Linked DNA regions of Arabidopsis thaliana. The protein of the gene in region 1 interacts with the protein of each later gene in a pairwise test. Each region holds a gene or a part of one and is shown in the gene's direction. Other genes may lie near its edges.

What was found. The genes of interacting proteins can lie anywhere in the genome.
Region 2: the proteins of MPK3 (region 1) and DSPTP1 interact in binary tests that used the Arabidopsis thaliana proteins (3 or more experiments, as listed by UniProt).
Region 3: the proteins of MPK3 (region 1) and IAA18 interact in binary tests that used the Arabidopsis thaliana proteins (3 or more experiments, as listed by UniProt).

Annotation. Positions count from the first base shown.
Region 1 is NC_003074.8:16,753,315-16,760,883, forward strand, and holds MPK3 (mitogen-activated protein kinase 3), read left to right. Parts: upstream 1-3,256; 5' UTR 3,257-3,278; coding exon of another isoform or gene 3,279-3,470; 5' UTR 3,471-3,603; coding exon 3,604-3,761; intron 3,762-3,844; coding exon 3,845-3,974; intron 3,975-4,062; coding exon 4,063-4,200; intron 4,201-4,301; coding exon 4,302-4,634; intron 4,635-4,726; coding exon 4,727-4,910; intron 4,911-4,992; coding exon 4,993-5,162; 3' UTR 5,163-5,560; downstream 5,561-7,569. Other genes in the region: AT3G45645 (uncharacterized protein), read right to left, coding at 3,279-3,470; NAXT1 (nitrate excretion transporter1), read left to right, coding at 5,939-6,038, 6,139-6,356, 6,440-6,957, 7,034-7,569. UniProt on the Arabidopsis thaliana protein: Involved in oxidative stress-mediated signaling cascade (such as ozone). Involved in the innate immune MAP kinase signaling cascade (MEKK1, MKK4/MKK5 and MPK3/MPK6) downstream of bacterial flagellin receptor FLS2.
Region 2 is NC_003074.8:8,474,178-8,481,414, forward strand, and holds DSPTP1 (dual specificity protein phosphatase 1), read left to right. Parts: upstream 1-3,944; 5' UTR 3,945-4,102; coding exon 4,103-4,104; intron 4,105-4,339; coding exon 4,340-4,505; intron 4,506-4,605; coding exon 4,606-4,741; intron 4,742-4,844; coding exon 4,845-4,965; coding exon of another isoform or gene 4,966-4,996; exon of another isoform or gene 4,997-5,076; coding exon 5,077-5,222; coding exon of another isoform or gene 5,223-5,266; exon of another isoform or gene 5,267-5,315; coding exon of another isoform or gene 5,316-5,344; exon of another isoform or gene 5,345-5,358; coding exon 5,359-5,474; 3' UTR 5,475-5,664; downstream 5,665-7,237. Other genes in the region: AT3G23600 (alpha/beta-Hydrolases superfamily protein), read left to right, coding at 343-469, 628-718, 813-902, 1,163-1,263, 1,338-1,478; AT3G23605 (Ubiquitin-like superfamily protein), read left to right, coding at 2,498-2,956; AT3G23620 (Ribosomal RNA processing Brix domain protein), read left to right, coding at 5,970-6,038, 6,227-6,430, 6,737-6,982, 7,096-7,237. UniProt on the Arabidopsis thaliana protein: Has a dual specificity toward Ser/Thr and Tyr-containing proteins. Dephosphorylates MPK4 in vitro.
Region 3 is NC_003070.9:19,301,204-19,309,091, forward strand, and holds IAA18 (indole-3-acetic acid inducible 18), read left to right. Parts: upstream 1-3,877; 5' UTR 3,878-4,466; coding exon 4,467-4,738; intron 4,739-5,014; coding exon 5,015-5,310; intron 5,311-5,393; coding exon 5,394-5,526; intron 5,527-5,729; coding exon 5,730-5,797; intron 5,798-5,892; coding exon 5,893-5,927; 3' UTR 5,928-6,315; downstream 6,316-7,888. UniProt on the Arabidopsis thaliana protein: Aux/IAA proteins are short-lived transcriptional factors that function as repressors of early auxin response genes at low auxin concentrations.

The DNA of each region.
Region 1 (7,569 bases):
AGTGGCACAGAATAAAAAGATCGACAGTTTTACTAATAACAGTTCAAATTGAACATCTTCCCGATCAAAGAAACTAATATTATACACTAATCCAATAAAATTGAGTTAGCAAATCTTAAACTAATCCAAAGTATCAAACTTTCAGATCGAAATCGAGAATCTAACAAGCCAAAGTCCATAATGAATCCGTGCATGGGACGCGACGGTTCAATAAGAGACGCGTCAACGAAACAGTACAATCGAAAAAAAAACATATCGACGACAATCCAAAATCTCCATGAGATTTCTACATACAATCGGAATCAGTAAACACGTTGATCTCAATAACTACTCCGGAACTAAAATCGAAACACCAGAATTAGGGTTTTGAGATTCGGCGATTCAAATCCCAACATGAAAGAGTCAATTACGAGAGAAGTGAAAACATACGGCTGAGTAGAGAGATTCGATCGGAGATTGTGGAAGATGAAGAAGATTGAGAGAAGTGGGAGATTGCAAGAGACAACAAGTGAGAGAGATTGGATGGCTGAGATTTTGGCCGCTTCTAGATCCACGATTGCCTAATAAGAAGAATTAACTATGCCCTTAGATTATTAGTTTATTACGGATCTGCCACTATCTCCGGTTCGATTATTTTTGGTTGGCGTCGGTTAAAGACTGATTTAATTTGGTGGTGGTTTTATTTCAACCCAATGATTATATTTTAATTTTTGTTCTTCTACATATCCGATATTTTCAGAAATCATGTGGAAATAAATCTAAAAATTTAGAAATTTAGTTACAAGTTTTATAAAACTAATCGTCTAATACAATGAAATTTCATCAAAATAATTATTTTTCTATAAATTATGATGATCTAAGTACCGGATTAAGAACAAATTACAAATAAGAATACTGTACACAACAAAACTCAAACATGTGACTTCAGAAAATATTTTACTCGTAAATTAAAACATAAACATACACGAATACTATCCTTCATATATATCTTTGTATCTAAGAGTAACTCAATGTTCAAAATAAAATACAGCTAAAAAAAGTAATAAGCAAAAGAATATGGGATAAACTATTTTAAGCTGAAAAAGTAACAAAGTGATAGAACACACTCATGCATCATTAGTTTATGTAACAAAGAAGAACTCATTTTAAGTTGTTGCAATGGAGACTTGCTTCAAAACCTTTGAACAGTCCACAAGTTTCAAGCTTTTAAACGTTCTACAGATGAACAATGGAATAAACGACTAGGCCATTCTTTTCAAAAGAGTGTTCATAAGGGAAATATCATCCACATGCATTTGGAAGCTCTTTATAAGCTTTCGATTTTGCCCGTACCTAATGATTTTCGTTTGTCCATCTAGGAAGTACTCGATTTAAAGTTTAGAACTAATTTAAACAATCATTGTTTTGATAAGGTTAAGTATTTGAAATCACTTTTAGATGACTTTGGAATAGTTTTAGAAGGTTATAATCCAGTGAAGTTTAACGATGCATCGTTATTCCTTAACATAAATAGAACTCTAACTTAAATAAATTTCATAACAAAATCAATATTTTTAACGATAATGTTGGAACATAAATTATATAGCGCATACGATTATTTAGAGGAATTTGTAAACTAAATATTAATATCTTGTTCGAACTCGAAAATAGCTTACTTTTTTTTCTTCATAAGTGTTGGCTTTGATATATAACAACAAAGTGTTACAATAGTGGAAAACTCCACTTACAGAATTCGATAGGCTAATGAGCATTACGATATTAAATTATCAAACACATATAGATAATCTCCTTTAATTTTCATCTACTCAGAATTGAACATTTTCATAATCTGCAAGTTCTGCTTTATCTTGTCTGCTTTCATTGGAAATGAAATGGTATATGTTGGTCGGTAAAAGACGAATCAAATTTGTAAACTAACAATGAACTATTGAAAGAGTAAATCTTACAGAAATCTCAAAAGAAAATAAGATACTAAAAAGGGAGAAACTGAATCTCTCACTTAATCCCCATTCGGGGAACCTTTACACTTAACACGCGATCTGATGGAGCCATGAGTGCAATCCAATCAATCCAAAACTTCTGCAAGGCCCTCTTACACAGATATCCTAACGAAAAGTAACCACAAAGATCCGCTTCTCAACTCCAAAACCAATTTGCGCAAATAGAGATTTTGCCTATTTTGCTATCTCTTTCTTCTTAAAACAAAGCCTTCTTAAAACAAAAGTCCAACAACAAAAGTCAAACCGAGCCCAATATAGTAACCCATCGAGGAAGGGATAAGAAAGCCATACAACACAGAGACATGTGTCGCCTCATGAGGAAATCACAGACACGTGACGAGAAGAACGTGTTTGTCGAGAATGCCAACCACTGCCGGCATGTTTTCTGAGATCGAAGAACGCCTACCCACCGAAAGTTCGTTCACTCCGCAAAACCAGAAGCTTCAAGTAGAGCACTGAAGACCCTCTAAAGAAATTGCACATCTAGTCTTCCTCTTCCAAACGAAATTAAACTCAGATTTAACAAACGAACGAAACTTTCTTTCATATGAAGGAAAGCGTCCACCATTCCAAAGTAGCATGAAGCATCACAATGACGTAAGCAACCAAAAAGATTTTCCGGTGAGACTTAACGTCGCCATGCCCATCAAGTGAAACTACTACAAAATTTGAACGACAAGGCTTATGAAGCCGAAACTCTTAAACTTCCACTTTTTCTTCGTAATGAAGAAACTTAATAAGTTTATTAGAAATAAAGACAAATAAAGGCAAAATACCAAAGAACGGCGACGATAAAACCGGATTTACCGGTAACTATAACTAGAACTCACCGTACGGTATTGAAACAAAAAGTTGGACCATGTCCGAACACAACCTCACAAACATACGGGAAGGCATACGAAACAAAGAATTTTTTCTTTTTCTCAAAATTTTAGAGAAAGAAGAGAATAAAAAAATTCTGATCGAAAATAGCTTACTTAAAAATCATAATTGAATAGTATCTTTTGTTTTTAAACTAATTTAGTCTATATAATAATAATATTATTAACCATCGTAAACCACACATGATATTCAATACTTATAATAAATTAATCGCATAAAATACAATACTTAAAACGAGTGTTATATAATTTTACGTAACGTAAAACAATACAAAATTTTAATTCCTGAACGAATAAAACGAGTATATTAATTAATTTATTGATCGTATTAAAACGAATATGATCCAATTAAGATTACAATTACTAAAATCCCCACACTATTATTGTCATTATTTAACTATGGCAGATAGATAGATACAGAACCGTAAAGGACGTTAGGAAGAGGAAGAACGTTGACGAAGTCAACAACGAACAGAAACCGTCGATTTGAGGCGGCTCTAATCTCAACCACACGATCTTCTCTGCCTTTCCCTCTTCTCTCTTCTTCTTCTTCTTCATCTTCTTCCTCGCAATTACCGCGAAAACTCATCTCTGCTCAATCCTCAATCTCAGTCTCTCTGTTGACTCCGACTGTTATATAAAACCATACAAATACCTTCAGATTCACTACTTCAAACCTCAAAGCAACCACTGAATCTCGACTTTGATCAATTGAGAGAGAAATGAACACCGGCGGTGGCCAATACACGGATTTTCCGGCGGTGGAAACTCACGGAGGACAGTTCATAAGTTACGATATCTTCGGTAGTTTATTCGAGATCACATCTAAGTATCGTCCTCCGATTATACCAATTGGTCGTGGAGCTTATGGAATCGTTTGGTATGTTTCCTTCTCTGAGCTTTTTCTTAAGTTTTATTCTTTGAGATCGGAGTTTTTAATTTCTGGATTTTGATTTTGTGAAGCTCTGTGTTGGATACGGAGACGAACGAGCTAGTAGCGATGAAGAAGATAGCTAATGCTTTTGATAATCATATGGATGCTAAGCGTACGCTTCGTGAGATCAAGCTTCTTCGTCATCTTGATCATGAAAACGTTAGTGTTTTTGTTCGATTTTGTGAAATATCTGTAGAAATTAGTAAATAAATCATGATTAGGGTTTTTTGATTTGGTATTGCAACAGATTATAGCTATAAGAGATGTTGTTCCACCACCACTAAGAAGACAGTTCAGTGATGTTTATATCTCTACTGAATTAATGGATACTGATCTTCATCAAATCATCAGATCTAACCAGAGTTTATCAGAAGAACACTGTCAGGTAAACTAAAAACTGTTCTTGGCTTTTTTCTGGGATTTATATTTGATAGAAGAGACATGAAACTGATACTTGATTTGGTGTTTTTGTTGTCATGGAAACAGTACTTCTTGTACCAGCTACTTCGAGGACTGAAGTATATCCACTCAGCTAACATTATTCATAGGGATTTAAAGCCGAGCAATCTTCTGTTGAACGCGAATTGCGATTTAAAGATTTGTGATTTCGGTCTTGCTAGACCTACTTCAGAGAATGATTTTATGACTGAGTATGTTGTTACGAGATGGTATAGAGCACCTGAGCTTCTGTTGAACTCTTCAGATTACACAGCTGCTATTGATGTTTGGTCTGTTGGTTGTATCTTTATGGAGCTTATGAATAGAAAGCCTTTGTTCCCTGGTAAAGACCATGTTCATCAAATGCGCTTATTGACAGAGGTAAAATATTTTAGAGAGTTATGTAATTTTAGCATGGTTTAAAGATTCTGCCTTTTCACGGAATATGTGATGAATTTGTTTGAATCTTGCAGTTGCTTGGCACACCGACAGAATCTGATCTCGGTTTTACTCACAATGAGGATGCGAAAAGATACATCCGGCAACTTCCCAACTTCCCACGTCAGCCCTTAGCTAAACTTTTCTCTCATGTTAACCCAATGGCCATTGATCTTGTTGACAGAATGTTGACGTTTGACCCCAACAGAAGAATCACTGGTAAGTTTCATACATGTTCTCTGTTGGTTTTTCTTACCATCACTATGTTTTGATTAAAAACTGAAAATACCATCTTGTGCAGTTGAACAAGCTCTGAATCACCAGTACCTTGCTAAATTGCACGACCCGAATGATGAGCCAATCTGTCAAAAGCCATTCTCTTTTGAGTTCGAACAACAGCCTCTGGATGAGGAACAGATAAAAGAGATGATCTACCAAGAAGCCATAGCACTCAATCCAACATACGGTTAGAAGTGCAGCAGCCCCGTGAATGCCTGGTATTACCCAATAACCATCCGAATGGCTACTTAGTATCTTTGCCTGTTCTTTTATTCATGTACTTCTTCCACATATGTAATCTTGTAACTTTTATTTGTTTGTTCATGTTATTTACTGCTAGTGATTAAGTGTAGCTCCAATGTAAAGTACTCCAGTTATTAAAGAATATCTATAGACTTTTTTACTTCACATACTCTTGAGTCTTCCCTAGTAAACAAAGAGAAGAGAGAATATAATTTTGTAATGTACAGAGCCTCAATATTTGTGGGAGACATTATAGAGCTAGAGCCAGAGTCAATGCTGTCGCCGTGAGTTGTCTATTCTCATTCAATGACTTTCAATAGATTTTAGTGGGATTGGCTTTAGGTAGCTTGCATTATTGAAGTAGAAATGGTCAATTCCTTAGCAATAATTAGGCACAAATGTGTCTTTCTTTAGTAATATTGTAATATCCTTTGTCTGACAATTTAGAGTTGACTTCTAAAACGTTGGGTTGGAAATAATGTTGTCTTCACACAGGCTGTTACGAAGCAGACAGTGATGGCTCAACTTGCATCAACGGAAACCTTTGAGTTTTTGTTTTACTTTCTTAATGTTTCTTTATTTGAAGCTGCTGCGCATGGAGAATAAAATATCGTGGACCCGAGAAAGTCATCATTGCTGTATTATTACTTATACTGTATATATGTTTCAGAATTTCAGGCCATTGTTGACAAAAATAGTGAAAGATTTCTGCTTGATTTTGAGACATGGCTAGTTCAGTTACTGGCGATGCAGAAACAGCGATATCAGCAGATTCAAGCACCAAACGCCGTGGTGGAGGTTGGATTACCTTTCCGTTTATGATAGGTGAGAGATTCTGTTTCTCTGTTTTTATATTTCTCATAACTTCATAACCATTAGAGCTTGGAAGAAGAAGTTGAATTTATCTTATCTTTCTATGGTGCAGCTACGTTGTTAGGCTTGACAATAGCTGCGTGGGGTTGGTTACTTAACTTGATCGTCTACCTGATCGAGGAATTCAACGTGAAGAGCATTGCAGCGGCTCAGATTGCTAATATTGTTAGTGGTTGTATCTGTATGGTTCCAGCTGTTGCAGCCATTGCATCTGACTCTTTCTTTGGAACCATTCCTGTTATCTCAGTTTCAGCTTTCATTTCTCTTATGGTAAAGTTAATAAAGAGTCCTTGACATTTGTTTTTATCAGTTTCTCTCTGAAACAGAAATTCACTAATTCTACTCTTGACCAGGGTGTAGCTCTACTGACTCTAACTGCTTCACTTGACACTTTAAGACCTAGACCCTGCGAAACAGCTTCAATACTATGCCAGTCTCCTTCGAAAACCCAGCTCGGAGTCCTTTACACGGCCATAACTCTAGCCTCTATAGGAACAGGTGGGACACGGTTCACATTAGCAACTGCTGGTGCGAACCAGTATGAAAAAACTAAAGACCAAGGAAGCTTTTTCAACTGGTTTTTCTTCACAACATATCTAGCCGGAGCTATAAGTGCAACCGCCATTGTCTACACCGAAGACAATATCAGCTGGACCCTTGGGTTTGGTCTGTCTGTAGCCGCTAATTTCTTCAGTTTTTTGGTTTTCGTCTCGGGGAAAAGATTCTACAAGCATGACAAGCCTTTGGGAAGTCCCTTCACAAGTCTACTATGCGTCATTTTCGCAGCATTACGCAAAAGAAAAGCTGTGGTTTCCACCAACGAAAAAGACTACCACAATGAATCAATCACAATGCCCACAAAGAGTTTCAGGTAGAAAAACCGGCTCGAAAACCGCAGTTTCATTCTTGCACTGAGAGGCCGTTCTAATGAGTTTTCAAATACGCAGGTTCTTTAACCGTGCAGCATTGAAACAGGAAGACGAGGTAAAACCAGATGGCACAATTCGCAATCCATGGAGACTATGCAGCGTTCAACAAGTGGAAGATTTCAAAGCAGTCATAAGAATCATCCCTCTCGCCTTAGCCACAATATTCTTGAGCACTCCAATCGCAATGCAACTAAGCTTAACAGTTCTTCAAGGTCTGGTGATGGACCGGAGGCTTGGTCCTAGCTTCAAAATCCCTGCAGGCTCTCTCCAAGTCATAACACTTCTCTCCACTTGCCTATTTATCATAGTCAACGATAGGGTTCTCTATCCATTTTACCAAAAGTTAACGGGAAAGCACCTCACACCGCTCCAACGAGTTGGGATAGGCCATGCGTTCAACATTCTAAGCATGGCTGTGACTGCCATAGTTGAAGCAAAGCGATTAAAGATAGTACAGAAGGGTCATTTTCTCGGATCATCATCTGTTGCTGACATGTCAGTCTTATGGCTCTTCCCTCCTCTAGTCATAGTAGGAATCGGTAAGGATTTGATTC
Region 2 (7,237 bases), 8.3 Mb from region 1:
TACTAATTCTTCCCTCTTCATCGATTCAACCATTAAAAATGGAATCTTTAACTTGGGTTTGTTTCTTTGAAGGAATTAGATAGTATTTAGTAGCCACATATGAGGTCTAGTTAGAATTTTCATTTGAGCCTGCAAATAGTTTTGTTGGTTTTGGATTATGTACAAGATGAAGCATACCTATCATGTGTCTTTAAGTTGACTTGTCTTTTCTGAACTCATTTGATAAGATCTAAATGTTTAATTTGAATCATTGCTTTGATTGCATTGCATTATCTCAAGTTTATCTTGTACAACTATGGAGGAATGTTTATGGAGTGTTAAGTCTTAATTTTATGTCTTAAGGGCGCTTGCGGACAAGGTTGCAGCTTCTGGATTCTATGTTGTGGTTCCTGATTACTTTGGTGGAGATCCTTATAATCCCTCTAACCAGGACAGACCCATCCCTGTCTGGATCAAAGACCATGGCTGTGTTCGTTCCTCCTCCTCTCCTCCTTATAATAACTGTCCTATACATTCTCAACTTCTATTTGAAGTTTTGTTAACAAGTTTGACTCAATGTATGTGTTATTGTTCTGTTATTTTGATAGATTCCATCTGAATCAGTTCATATCCTCTTTTGTTTTTCAGGATAAGGGCTTTGAAAACACGAAACCAGTACTTGAAACCATAAAGAACAAAGGCATAACTGCCATTGGAGCCGCAGGGATGTGTTGGGGTGGTGAGTTTTTGTTAGAAATCTATGCCTAAGAGATGTGACGCTCTCTTTTTGTCTAATGGATAGTACTTTTCTCTCTTGTGTTATTCATCTTCAGCAAAAGTAGTGGTGGAACTGTCTAAAGAAGAGCTTATTCAAGCAGCTGTGTTGCTTCATCCTTCTTTTGTCAATGTTGATGATATCAAAGGTTAGTGACTTTGCTACTTCCATCTTGATTCCTCACATAGAACCAAGGAACATTAGTTGTCATGCCTTGCCTAATGCGTTGTAACATTTAGAGTCACCTATAGGATTGCGTAACTGATCTCGCCATGATTAGATACTATCATTATTACTGTAAAGAATACTAATTCACATTTGCAAACATAAAAAACACTGTGATTGGTCCGGTTTCTTTACTTTCACCGGTCTTTGATGATCCTTATCAATTTCACGGGTTTATTGCAGGTGGGAAGGCTCCAATTGCTATATTAGGAGCTGAAATTGATCAAATGTCCCCACCAGCACTCTTGAAGCAATTTGAGGAGATTCTATCTTCCAAACCCGAGGTAAGCTGCTTTATCACCGCAACTCAACAGTGTAATTTAATCACCTTTATCTAACTTTAAAACGGATCCTGTAGGTGAATAGTTACGTGAAGATACACCCGAAAGTGTCACACGGATGGACAGTTAGATACAACATCGATGAACCAGAGGCGGTTAAAGCAGCAGAAGAAGCTCACAAGGAGATGCTTGATTGGTTTGTGACCTACATCAAATGATTTGAGAAAGAAAGAAAGGTATTGTCTATTACTTCATATATGCAAAGAATAAAAATTAAAGAGAGACAAAGCAAAACTCTTGGTTGGTGTTTCAATTTCTACTTTCTATAGTCTTTTGAAGCATTCTCTGAGATTCTGTGATACCTTTTGTTAATCATTGTTTTATGATTTTTATATGTTGACGATACGTTACCCTTCTCATCATCTTCTTGTGGTAAGCAAAAAAAGTTACCAAAACAAACTTTGATTGAAATCAATGTCTTCTTCGACTAAAGAAGTAAAAAAGATATTGTACATATATACAGAAATAATCAATTCTTCTTCTTCTTGATGAATTTGATAGTCAAAACGCAAAATTATTGATTGTTGAGACTTGAGACCTTGAGTAATTTTTTTTTTTTTGGGTCAAATGAGAGTAATTTATAAGAGTCAAAATCATTACATGAAAATGATTTAAGAGAGTTTGTCCACACACAAAAACCTAAAAAAAAGAAAACTAGTAATTGACAAAATTATACGATAAATTTATTGTATAAGAAATTGATCCATATATTATTTATATTGTTGCTTAAAAATCGTGCAAAAATGTGGACAGAAAAAAAAAACTTGCCAAAACAAGAAGATATTGCTCAAGAAAGTCACTAGGTTCTTTAGAGAAATCAAATAAAATCTCAATTCATAATCAATGTAGATTTCTCATAATTAAATTTGTATTACAAACTTACAATTATCAAAAACAAAATCTGTAATTACACAAAAAAAAAAAAGGAAAATAGAAACAAAAAAAAATCCGCAGAATATCTCCAAAAATCAATTCTACTAACACAAAAACAATAATACTAATAAATCTATTTTTCTATTTTCAAGGAAAAGGAAACAAACCTTTATAGCTCCTCTCTATCGTCTCGTCTCTATAAATAAACGAGAAGCTCACAAATTCCACAAAAATCCACTCTAACTATGAAACAATTAGGGTTTTGAAATTTACCTAAATCTCTCCGTAATCATCGATCAAAACGATGCTCGAGTGTCAATCAATGATGGAGAAATTATCACCGTTCGTAGACGTCGCCTCTCTGGAAATCGAGTCTCTGCGAAGAATCAAACGCCCGAAACGCTTCTCTGAAGAAGAATCAGAAGAAACCGAGAATACGACGAATTCATCAAACGCGGTATTCGGATTCCCTAACTTACCAGAAGAACCGAATCGCGATATGGATCAAAGCGTTTTGTGCAGAATCTGCGTTCGATTACCAGATGGGAGAAGAATACAGAGAAGTTTCTTAAAGAGTGAATCTGTTCAGCTTCTTTGGTCGTTTTGTTATTCGCAGATTGGTGATGAATCTTCTGAGAGAAAGCGGCGTTTTAAATTGATTCAAGGGTTTCCTGGGGATTATAAGAATCTTTATTTTGGATCTAATACTACTTTTGAACAATCTGGGCTTGCTAATTCCTTGGTTTCTGTTACTTGGCTCTGAAGAATCTTCTTTCGATCTGTAATTAGAAAAATAATTTCTTTCTTCTACCAAGTTTATGTTTACTCAATTTCTCGAATTTGTACTTGGAAATTGCAAATTTCATTTGGTTTTCTTGAATCGTTGTTAGATATTTCCGATCAAATCGTTTTTAGATAACACTGTTTCAAAGTCAATGTCGTCATCATCATACAAGAAGAACGTATAGTTTTTGGTTTATCTTTTTGTTGCTTCTTAAGTCACTCTTTCTCGCATAGTTTTTGAGGTGACGAAGTTACGTATACGGTGACGTAGCAAACCAAGCCCATAAGCCCAAATTCTAAACAAGCCTAAGACAAGTGAGCAAGGAGTGGGTAAACCAAACCATACCAAAATGAAACCGACAAACTCGTCGATATGTGCCAGGACCGGGCTTAGAGGGTGTGCTGAGGGTACATTTGTACATTGTCCATTACTTTTTAGTCAGATTTCTTAAAGCAATTAGGGTCCTATTTCTAAACAAGCCTAAGACAGCATCAAGTGAGCAAGGAAGTACTTCATGTTCATGCACAATTTCTAGGAATGGGAAAGACCGTACCAAAATGGAAACCGAGAAACTCGTCGAGACCGGCTTTGATTAGATAGTCTATCGAAGTAAAATATCGAACTTCGATGGACTATATTGAAGTAGATTTGTGCTCTACTGCCCTCGAAAAAAACATTAAAGTAGATTACTACTACGTCATAATAACAAACAGTCTTTAACAACAACATCATCATCACTCGATACATCTCTGCCTCTGTACAGTTTTGCTGACATATTCACAACACCGTTGCCTCAGTTTCAGCCAAGTACACTACTTCTTACTAATCCAGGGGGCCTAATAGCAGGAAACCAAGCCTACAAAGCACAAATCCCAAACACAAATTTTTGAGTATAATATAAGGACTGAGCTAATAAGTTAAAACATTTCTGATTTTTCTGATAGAAAGGAAATTTTACTATTTGGCCCTCTTTGAACACATCCTTCCCTCTCCTCCTCCTCCTTCCCCCAAAAAACCTGGAGAACCATGCAGTTGCAATTTCCTCTTTAACCCATTTCAAAGATTCGTTTTTTTTTTTTTGTAAATCTCTTTCTCCTTTGGCGAATTCGTATTCCTTCTTTTCCAATGTAAGTTCTTCTTCCTTGATAATCGAATTCTTCTTTTGATCTTAAACCAATCACTACTCCGTCGTTGTAATCGTAATTCTCGATTCACCGTTGTTCGGTTATAAGATCATTCATCAGAATCGGATTCCATTATTTCGGTGACCTGGATTTTGATTTTGATTTTGATTCTTGCTGCTATGATCACGATCTTGATATGTAAACTCTCTTCTTCTTTTTTCTGATTCGATGAAATCAGGAGTTCTAGAGACAGAGGATCACCTTCTTCTTCTTCGTCATCTTCTTCGTTACCAGGAATAGAAAAGTATAATGAAAAGGTGAAGAATCAGATACAAGCTCTTGTTCGTGTTATTAAAGTTGCTCGTACCTATAGAGACGACAATGTCCCTTCCCTTATTGAACAGGTTACTACTACTACTAATACTCATAGGTTTTTTCTACCAACCAAATGACCAATGATTCATTATCAAAGATCAAACCTTTTGTTGAATTTGACTTTTTCAGGGTCTTTATCTTGGATCTGTTGCAGCAGCTAGTAATAAGAATGTTTTGAAATCTTACAATGTTACACATATTTTGACTGTTGCTAGTTCGTTGAGACCAGCTCATCCTGATGACTTTGTTTACAAGGTTGTTCGAGGTATAAACTTATTAAAGGTTTCACTTTGTTATCTAGTTGAAGAGAGAATATGTTTTTGATTTTGGGATGGAATTGCTTGTTTGATTGTTTTTCTATGTGATAGTCGTGGATAAGGAAGATACAAATCTAGAAATGTACTTCGATGAGTGTGTTGATTTCATTGATGAAGCCAAGAGACAAGGCGGTAGTGTTCTTGTTCATTGCTTTGTTGGCAAATCACGGAGGTCAGTTTTGTTTGCTTCCTTCAATATCTAGCGGTTTTCGCCTTGTTTGCTGGATAGTATTCAAAACTAAGTACATATTTAGCCTGGATGGTTTGTCCCTTTTACTTGCAGTGTCACTATAGTTGTTGCTTACCTCATGAAGAAACACGGTATGACTTTAGCTCAAGCATTGCAACATGTTAAAAGCAAAAGACCCGTGGCAAGTCCTAATGCTGGTTTCATCAGACAATTACAAGACCTCGAGAAGTCTATGCAAGGTATGCCTTACTATAATATCTTGAGGTCTAGACTATTAGGTTGAGATCTCTGTGGTGAATCTAAGTTGGAGATACTTTGTCTGTCTGATTCAGTAGTGAGTGACCAGTTTTTTTCCTTTTGAGGATGAAAAGCAAGTGGTTGTGGAGGAGAAGACAGTTCCATGTAAATATCTCTTACATGCATCTTCCTTCTTCTCTATAAAACAGGGAAGCAAGTTACGATTGCACAATGTCAGGCGTGAAGATCATTGATCGTACCATTGGGAGAAACTTGTAAATCTCACACGAAGCATCAATCAAAATGTTTTGTTGTTTCTTCTCCTTAACAACTCGAATAATAACATGGAAACGAATTTGGAATATGTTCATGTTCTCTATTCGTTTTGTATAGTTTCATCATCATGGATATAAAAGTGAACATAAATAAAAATTTGTAAATTTTTTGTACCGCAATGAAATGTCTTTTTTGTGTGTAAAAGTTCATGGGCTGTCATTGTTTAATTTGAGCCCGTATAGTTTAAACAGTTCATGGACCTTGTGAAACATTGGGTTTTATAGTCAATAAAAAACTGTGGGGTGATTTAGGACAGACTTATAAGGTTAGGGGTCATATTAGAATTCTCTTAAAGTTGCTTCCAATTGTGAGGAGGCACTAAAACCCTAGACTCCATATCAATCAATCGAAAAACCTTTCTCTCTTCTTTCGGAGCCGTCGCTTGTGAAACTTTCCGGCGATTTAACAGAGTCATGATGGAAATACGAACTCCGAAGACTGGCAAAGCCAAGCGTGTTCTCGAAAGCCGAGCTCCTAAGTTGGTAAAGTTCTCTTCTTTTTCTCCTTCGTCCTTCTTAAAACCGAGAAGTGAATCATGTTGAGAGCTGTCTTCAATGTTGTTTTGACATCTATGAGACTCATGGGTTTTCTATTTGTCGATAAATTTATCAAAGAATCGATTGAAAGTTGCAAACTTTGTATCTGAATTGGTTGTTTTTGGAATTTGTAGGTTGAAACTGGGAAGAAGACGTTGATACTTCATGGAACAAAGACGAGTGCTACACTTAGCTCTGTAATGACGGAACTCTACCGTTTGAAGAAGGGAGGTGCCATCAGATATTCAAGGAGGAATGAGAATATTAGGCCTTTCGAGAGTGGAGGTGAAACTTCATTAGAGTTCTTCTCTCAGAAAACAGATTGTAGCATTTTTGTGGTAAGTTCATAAGCTTTGGCAGCTGTTGCATCTTGGTTTTATGGTGTTGCAACTTTGATTCTCCTCTTAACTTAGCTATGAACTGCTAGATAGAACAAAATGTTATTAAGATGATCTATCCTGTGATCTAGATTCATTCTAAGGCATCTCTGCTTCTGTCTTGTTAGTCTATGTGTATTTATTTATGGTGGAAATTGGTATGATTGGCTGATGTTATCACAGGCCTTAAGAAGTCATTTGGAAAGGTGTATTGGCAAATTAACTTTGATGCGAGTTCTAACATTGGTGATTGTTTTTATATTGCAGTATGGTTCTCACACGAAGAAACGACCTGACAATCTTGTACTTGGGAGAATGTATGATCACCAAGTCTATGATCTTATAGAAGTTGGGATTGAGAACTTTAAATCCTTGCGGGCGTTTTCGTATGACAAGAAATTCGCACCTCATGAAGGAACAAAGCCTTTCATTTGCTTTATTGGTGAAGGTTTTGAGAATGTATCAGAGCTTAAGCATCTCAAAGAAGTCCTCACTGATCTTTTTCGTGGCGAGGTGAAGTGTTTGATTCTTATGACCTACTTTTGCAGCTAATTCCATAACCAGTTTCAATTTTATTCTGATTCTATATGGATTTGGCTTATAACAGAATTTGTATATGTCTGCAGGTTGTGGATAATCTAAATCTTACTGGTTTAGACCGCGCTTACGTATGTTCAGCTATATCCCCAACAAAGGTTTTCCTTACTCATTGCGCATTGAAGCTTAAAAAGTCAGGATCCATTGTTCCGAGAATGGAGCTTGTTGAAG
Region 3 (7,888 bases), on another chromosome or scaffold:
TTTCACTTTTTTGGAGTTGGAGTTGTGGTTGAGAACTTTGTGACCATTATCTTTTGAATTGGCTTGATGCTTCTGATTATTTTCACAATAAGAGTTAAGTATTAAGCATGCTAGCTACTTTTTAACCAAAGAGTTGTAGTTTTTCGTTTTAAAAGTACTTTGTGAATGTCATAATTAGATCCTTAGGTTCCATGGTCGAGTAAAAAAATTAAAAAATATAGGAGTAGAAATGTAAATATACATTCGAATATTAGATGCTTATATTTTTAGTTGGTTTTGACATAAGGTATAAGAAAATAGACTATCCACATTATATTAGTCAAGAAAACAAAATCTGTAGTTTCAATTTTGTGATTCAAACTTTAATGAATAAACACTAAAGTTAAAATAGTTATTATGTATATGAAAATATATACTTCATCTGTTCCAAAAAGAACGGTATTTTGAGTTTTACACACAAATTTATTTTTTATTTTTTTTTAATTATTATTTTGCTAGTTTAATAATATTAATTTTACTTCTTTTCTTTCTCTATTGGTCACAAACAAAAATAATAATGATATTTTGTACAAAACTAAAAAAAAAAAAAAAAATTTGGGACAACAAGTGGAACAAGTAAAAAACTTAAACCATCAAATAATTAGGAAGAGAGAGAGTAGTTTATTAAAGAATTGACTACATTTTATAGAGTATGGTATTTCATTCAATATCTTGAGTATCATGGTCCATGGATCGATCGAGAGATAAAAGTTTGATGCAACCGTTTTCTCTCATTAATTTAGTTGTTAAATTGTTTGTTAAACAAGTTTTGAAAATGATTTTGAAAAGAATAATGACTTTGTTCGAGAGATATCAACAAATTTAAGAATGTACAGTATTTGGCTTATTTGAGGATTCAAATACTAATATCCAAGACAATTACAAATTACAGTTTTTGGATATTACCAAGATCATTGGATCACTAATTTGTTTCTAGATGCTATTAGTATTACACTATTACTATTACTACATCAAATAGTAAATGCAATTTATTTGCATCTCACTGGTAAAATCATAAAAGCATGATGAAAGTTTCAACAAAAAGAAGCAATGCATTCAAAAAGCGACGCCAGTGAAATAGTGTATGAAGCTTCCACAAAAACACTCAACACAAAAACAATTATCACGTTGGAATTTAGAAACGAATCTTTGCACTATGAAAAATGCATACAAATAATTGACACATACATGTAGATACGCTTTTATCATGAGATTAGACTTGACAACACAACATTATCGAAATTGAGTGATACAAATAGTAAGTGCAGGAAAATAATTCGATAATCTTATTAGGTGGAGCCTTATCAAATACGACCCATGAAGATTGAAGAGTATCATTTATGATTTTACCACAACTATTGCTTTTTCCTCAGATTTGACATTAATTTCACGATTTGTTTTATTCCTTTTCACTTTCTTTTTTGGAGTCAGCTATCTTATTAATTGGTGTACGGTGATAATCATAGCCGTTGGTTGTGGTTTGTTTTGAGTTTCAACGGTTGGGATTGAAAGCTTATCAGGAGATCTAAAATCTGAAACTGTACAACTTTTGTCTACCGTCCAGATAGAGAGAAAAGTACTGTCAAAGTCAGAGAGAGATTCGGTCTCTAGTCTCTGTTTTACTCATCTATATTGCCACGTGTCTTCCATAAACAAAAAAGAAGATCATCAAAACGCGCGATCTACCAAACACTGTGTACACGTTTAATTACACAGTAATTACTAATCACAATAGGTGTTTCTTGTTAGACGGTTTAATAACTATAATTACATAGGGTTTAATTTAACACATGAATGATTTAAAATGGAGAAATTAAGGAACCGTGATTAAGGTTGTCTGTCAGTCTTTGTCTGCAGCATTGTAGCCGATGAAGGAAGAAATTTGGGAGTTTGGTAATATGGAGACAAGAAATGACCTCTGATAATCCCATTTTTATATTATAAAATTCCCAAAATACCCATCTTTACTTGACCAAAAACTCACAACGAGTTTGGTAATACGGAGACAAGATTTGACCTCTGATAATCTTGTTTGAAAATTCCCATATTACCCTTCCTTCCTTGACCAAAACTCTTACCCGACTCTTGGTTGGTTCGGCTTTTCCGTCATATCGGTCTCACACGTGGAAGAACCATGTCCGATGGTTCATTATTTTCAAAAGCTTACTCTTTTTTTTTTGGTGTGGCAAAAGCTTACTCTTTTAAATAAGATTGAGTTTTTTTTTTTGGTAACATACGCTTCTTGTGATTAAGTTCATTTAAAGCAACACAATAATTCTTGTGTTTTTTATTTGCATGTAAAGGTAGACACAAAACTCGAATCTAAAATCAATAATTTTATTTGTTTAGTGACTGATTTGAAAAAAACGCAGAATAAACTAACCTGATTAAAAAAAAAGAGAGTTTATATTGGAGCTTACTGAATTCTATCGATCTAAAGTATAAGATGACAAAAAATTCCTCGTATCATTTGGGTTTAAATATATGATGGGATGGTAAATGGTAATTAAAGCCAATAGTAATAATTTATAAAATAATAACGACAAAACGAAATAAAGGAAGAAAATTTGCAAGAATAACTAACAAAAACTTATAAATTAAGAAAGTAACACAAAACAAAAAAACAGATATACTCTCTATATTATATATAATAATGGTATATTTACCCATTTTTCTCCACCTCATTCTAAGTCCCTCCTTCTCTCTTCACCTCTCATCTCTTTTTCTTTCTTCTCTCAATCTTTTTTTTTTTTCTTTTTTTGTATCACATAACAAACAAACGAGAAGGACAAAATAGATTTTTCAGATACCACTTATGTTATCTGGTTGCTTGAGTTGCCAAGGTTGTATCTTAGGGTATAGTTTTTCTATACATCCAAAATAGTATAGTACAACATTTTATTTCTATCCAAAATAGTACATGTTTTTACTTACAAACACTATTTACTATTTTATAAATTCAAATCCGATTTTAAAAATTCAAACTATTTTGTATGTAGAAAAAATATAGGTTTTTTCTAATAAATTTTATAATTGGAATTTATTTTTTGGAAAAGATATATAACAAAAAAAAAACAAATAGGTGAAAAACTAAACTAAATGTTACTAAATCATTTTACCTCCAATTCAACACTAAAATTGTCTTTTCCTTATCCTTACATGCTATTTTCTTAATTTTTATATATATGGTACTATATTTTTAATTTGTTTGTCAAATATGGTTATTCAGCTAAATCACCCAATAGAGACTCAATAGAGACTGAGAGAGAGAAAAAGAAGGGTTTCTCGTAAAATCTCCAAATTCATTTGAACTTTCCCAAACATTGGAATATGTGTAAGTCCCATAGGAGTAGGACAGAGTCGATAGGGGTGTGATCCTAACATACCAGAGAAAGATCGTCGAATCCTCCATTTCTTTTTATGGCAACCATATTTTAATTATATACTACTATTTATTAATTTAATTGGGTGTGATTTTTACTTCGCGTAATATAAATATGCTTTTTCTACATTTTCCCAATAATTTTGTAAAAGTGTAAAGTCTCTACAAAAACATTGTTTAGTCCTCCTTTTTTGGTCTAAATATTTGTTTAGTCCTATATCCATATTTTGTGACACTACTAGTATTATAAAAACATAACAAATTCTCAAGTTACACTTCTCGTTTTGTTTGGGTCAACCACACAACACCACAAGTTTTACTTGTACAAAGTAATTGTTTGTTTATGTTTTTCTGTTGTATGTATTTTTTTTAATTGGTCAAAAGAAAATATGTTTTAAATAAAAAGGTGAAAAAAGGCCTATGGGATTGGAATAATAAGATAGAAAACAAAATAGCATGCTTTGCTTCCTCCACTAAACTTCCTTTAAGGGCAGAGAGAGAGATAAAAAGATTGATTGCGTGTGTTTCACACCAATAAATCCCTTTATTTTTATTTTTTGGTCTCCAAATTTACTAACTTCTAATAATTTCCAATTTTACCCCTTATTTTTCTTCCTTTGGTTTTAACCTATTCACTGCATTTCCTTGGTATAAAATCCAACTTCTTCTCCTTCAAGAATCTAGAGATAGAGAGAGAGAGAGAACACAAAGTGGGAAAAAAGATAAGAACCCACCATAAAGTTTTAACATTTTTCCCTTCAAAAGGCGAAAGCTTTTGATTTGTATAAAAGTCCCACTTAATCACCTCTCTAGCTTCTCATTCCATTTCCATCTCCTCTCTTTTGTTTTCTAAGTTGCTTCAAGAGTTTTGGATAGTGTAGCAGAGAGATTTTAACTAATGGGTTTATAAAATTTTGTTCTTTTGCGTGAACAAGTTGTCAACTTCTAGACAGATTTTCTTTTTGAAGTGTTTTCTTGTCGAAATTCTTCTTCTTTTGGTCAAAGAACGCAAGATTCTTCTGTAGTTCCTCTAAAAAAAATCCTAATGGAGGGTTATTCAAGAAACGGTGAAATCTCTCCGAAGCTGCTTGACTTGATGATTCCACAAGAGAGAAGAAATTGGTTTCACGATGAGAAAAACTCTGTTTTCAAAACAGAGGAGAAGAAGCTTGAGCTAAAGCTTGGACCACCTGGTGAAGAAGATGATGATGAATCGATGATAAGACACATGAAGAAAGAACCAAAAGACAAATCTATCCTCTCTCTCGCTGGCAAATACTTCTCTCCTTCTTCCACCAAAACCACATCCCATAAAAGGTTTTAAACTTCTCATCTCTTACTTTTTGTTTTTCTCTGTTTTGTATCCTTCTCACATGATGATATTCACTTGTTATTAGCCAATAAGGTCCCATCTATCTGCATAAACTTTGTTCTTGTCTGCTTAAGATTGGATCTCAAAACTTTTCATCTTTTTACCCTTTTCCCATCTGAAAGTTTCAGTCTTTTTACTGCCCTAGTTTTCCTCTGTTTTTAACCTTGAGATTGTTCTTGTCTTACTAACAAGTTTTGTTTTGATGCCTTTGTGTTTTAAAGAACTGCTCCTGGTCCAGTGGTGGGATGGCCTCCGGTTCGATCCTTCAGGAAGAATTTAGCTAGTGGAAGTTCTTCAAAGCTTGGAAATGACTCAACCACCTCCAATGGTGTTACCCTCAAGAACCAAAAGTGTGATGCTGCTGCTAAGACAACAGAACCAAAGAGACAAGGAGGCATGTTTGTGAAGATCAACATGTATGGTGTTCCCATTGGTCGTAAAGTTGATCTCAGTGCTCATAATAGCTATGAGCAGTTATCTTTCACAGTTGACAAGCTCTTCAGAGGTCTTCTTGCAGGTAAATTTGAAACCTTTGTCTCTCTATTGATTATGGTTAAAAAAGGGTTGAATTTTGAACTCTAATTGTTCTTATTTTATCAGCTCAAAGAGACTTTCCATCATCCATAGAAGATGAAAAACCAATCACTGGATTATTAGATGGGAATGGAGAATATACTCTTACATATGAAGACAATGAAGGAGACAAGATGCTTGTAGGAGATGTTCCATGGCAGTAAGAATCTTTTCTTTTCTTTTTCGTTTTTTTCTGAATCTGAGTCAGCTTTTTGTTCTATCTAAAGGAGAAGTATTAGATTCCTAGTCACATATTTATTATATCTTAATCACAGTTTGATTAATAACAAACTTAGTTTGGTTAAGCTATTAAAGATTGTGGACTTTTTGATCACTAAAATTGATTATTTCTTAAATTGTCAGAATGTTTGTGTCTTCGGTGAAGAGGCTGCGTGTGATTAAAACTTCTGAGATTTCTTCAGCATTAACATGTAAGTGTAGGATTTTAATAACATTTTTTAGTTGTTTTGGTGACTCTTTTAAGTGAAGTTCTTAGAATGTTTTTTTGTTGTTTTGAAATTTGCAGATGGAAATGGTAAGCAAGAGAAAATGAGAAGATGAAGAAAAAGATCTTTTACAGCTTTTAAAGAAGTAGAGAGATGTTATTAATTGCATTTTGCCTTTAAACTTTGATGAGTTTTTGGTCTTGGAAAAGTTTCTGATATAAGTCTGATGTACATTCTGGTTTGTTACATCTTCTTTTGGCTTTTGAGATATCATAGAGTTTTGTTGGAACTCAAAGACCAAACAGTGCAATGATGATTTTGGGGTCTTGAGTAAATTTACAAACCCTTTTAGGCATATTATAATAGTCTTCTGTTTTTAAGTTTTGGTAATGATTATTCACACTTGATCAACACTTTTAAGTAATGTAACTCTCCCTATGTCAGCAAAGCATCCTTTTCGAAAAACGGAGAAAAGAAACAATCTTTTTCTCTGCCAAAAAGCTCTTTAGCTTTTATTAAATCTATACTTAGGGTATCCGCTATTGTAATGAACTATGAGAGTGAAAGGTTTTAAAACATTGAACAACTTTTCTTTAAATGAGCTGTTAGGACAGATATTCAAACCATTGTCTAACCACATCTTTCATCTTTGTCTGGACTCTTGGGCAACAAAATTACAGACATCATTAGATTATCATCTTCTGATTATTGATCTACATATTTGATAATACTTGATATGATATAGTTTCTATGTATAATCATCTCTAAATTTATGTTTCTAGTTTAGCTTTTGTGTTTCGTAGAATAGATATATAAAATAAAGGGTTGTTCATAAGCATATGTATTCATACGATCAAATCGTTTAAAAGGAAAAAAGGAAGAAAAAATTGGTGGGTATGGAATATTGATAAAGAGAGTACAAAATAGAAAAATTGAAGAGAAGTCTTTTTCGTTGAGAGTCTTGCCTAACTATTCGAAGCAGCAATATGAGACCTTATAGTTACTTTTTTCCTTTTGCCTTCGAAAATGTTCATTCTATATTCTTTTGAAGTCTACAGTGATATTGATGGCCAATTGTGTTGTCCTCTCAACATTTTAGGACCACTCTATCTAGTCCAAAAAATTAATATTCTGGTTTTAAGTTCAAGTAATAAGCGACGTTTACTCTTGTACTGTAGTAACTTGTTTGGATCAAATAAATTTATCATTGAGTTAACGATAGAATAAAACCGAATTCTAAAGAAAATAAACTTGTATTTGCTAGCGGAAATTTCTAAATTTAAGGAAAAGAAACCTGATGCGGAAGAAACTTCGAATTCTAAAGGAAAAATGTCCAATGGCAAAGCCCAAGTTAAAGAAAAGGAGACTTAATAGTTAATACTAATTAAAGGTCATTGTTTGCTGTAGAAAAGCCTTAATCAGAATGGGTAAAAGAATTGATGTTGTCGAGAAACACTAGTCCACAGGGATATGAGATATGGAGTTGTTAGAAACTTCGAATTCTAAGGTATGCTTTTGTAGTGACATGCCATTCTAAATTCGAATGAAACTAGAGTTTCACATCGGTCTATAAAAGGAGAGATCGGGGAGAAGATAAGTCATATCCAACATCAATACCTAAGGAAACCGACGTTTAGTAGCGCTACCACTTTGTATTTACAAGACAGTTCAGATTCTTGTTTGAAATCAAGTTCCAAGTAACTAACTTAATGTGAAACTGTTCGTTTTCAATAAGTTAACTTTACTGAATGTAATGGTTGAATGATAAATAAATAGATAAATAAATATTCCAAATAAGAAAATATATTTCAATAAGCATTTTAACATTTAAAAGATATTTATCTTAATGTTGAAGATTTTTTCTGAAAGATATAAAATTAATTTTCTTTAATTATTGAGTTTACTTTGGTAAAAAATAATTTGATTTCATTTTATGTTCACAAACTTAAAATATTGTGTTATAAACAGAAATTTTGTATTTGGAAAAAATCGAGTAGTATAGTGAACAAATCTTTAAGAGATGAATTTTCACAAGTTTGGTCACATACATAATAAAGTTGGTGTGTGTGTATGTGT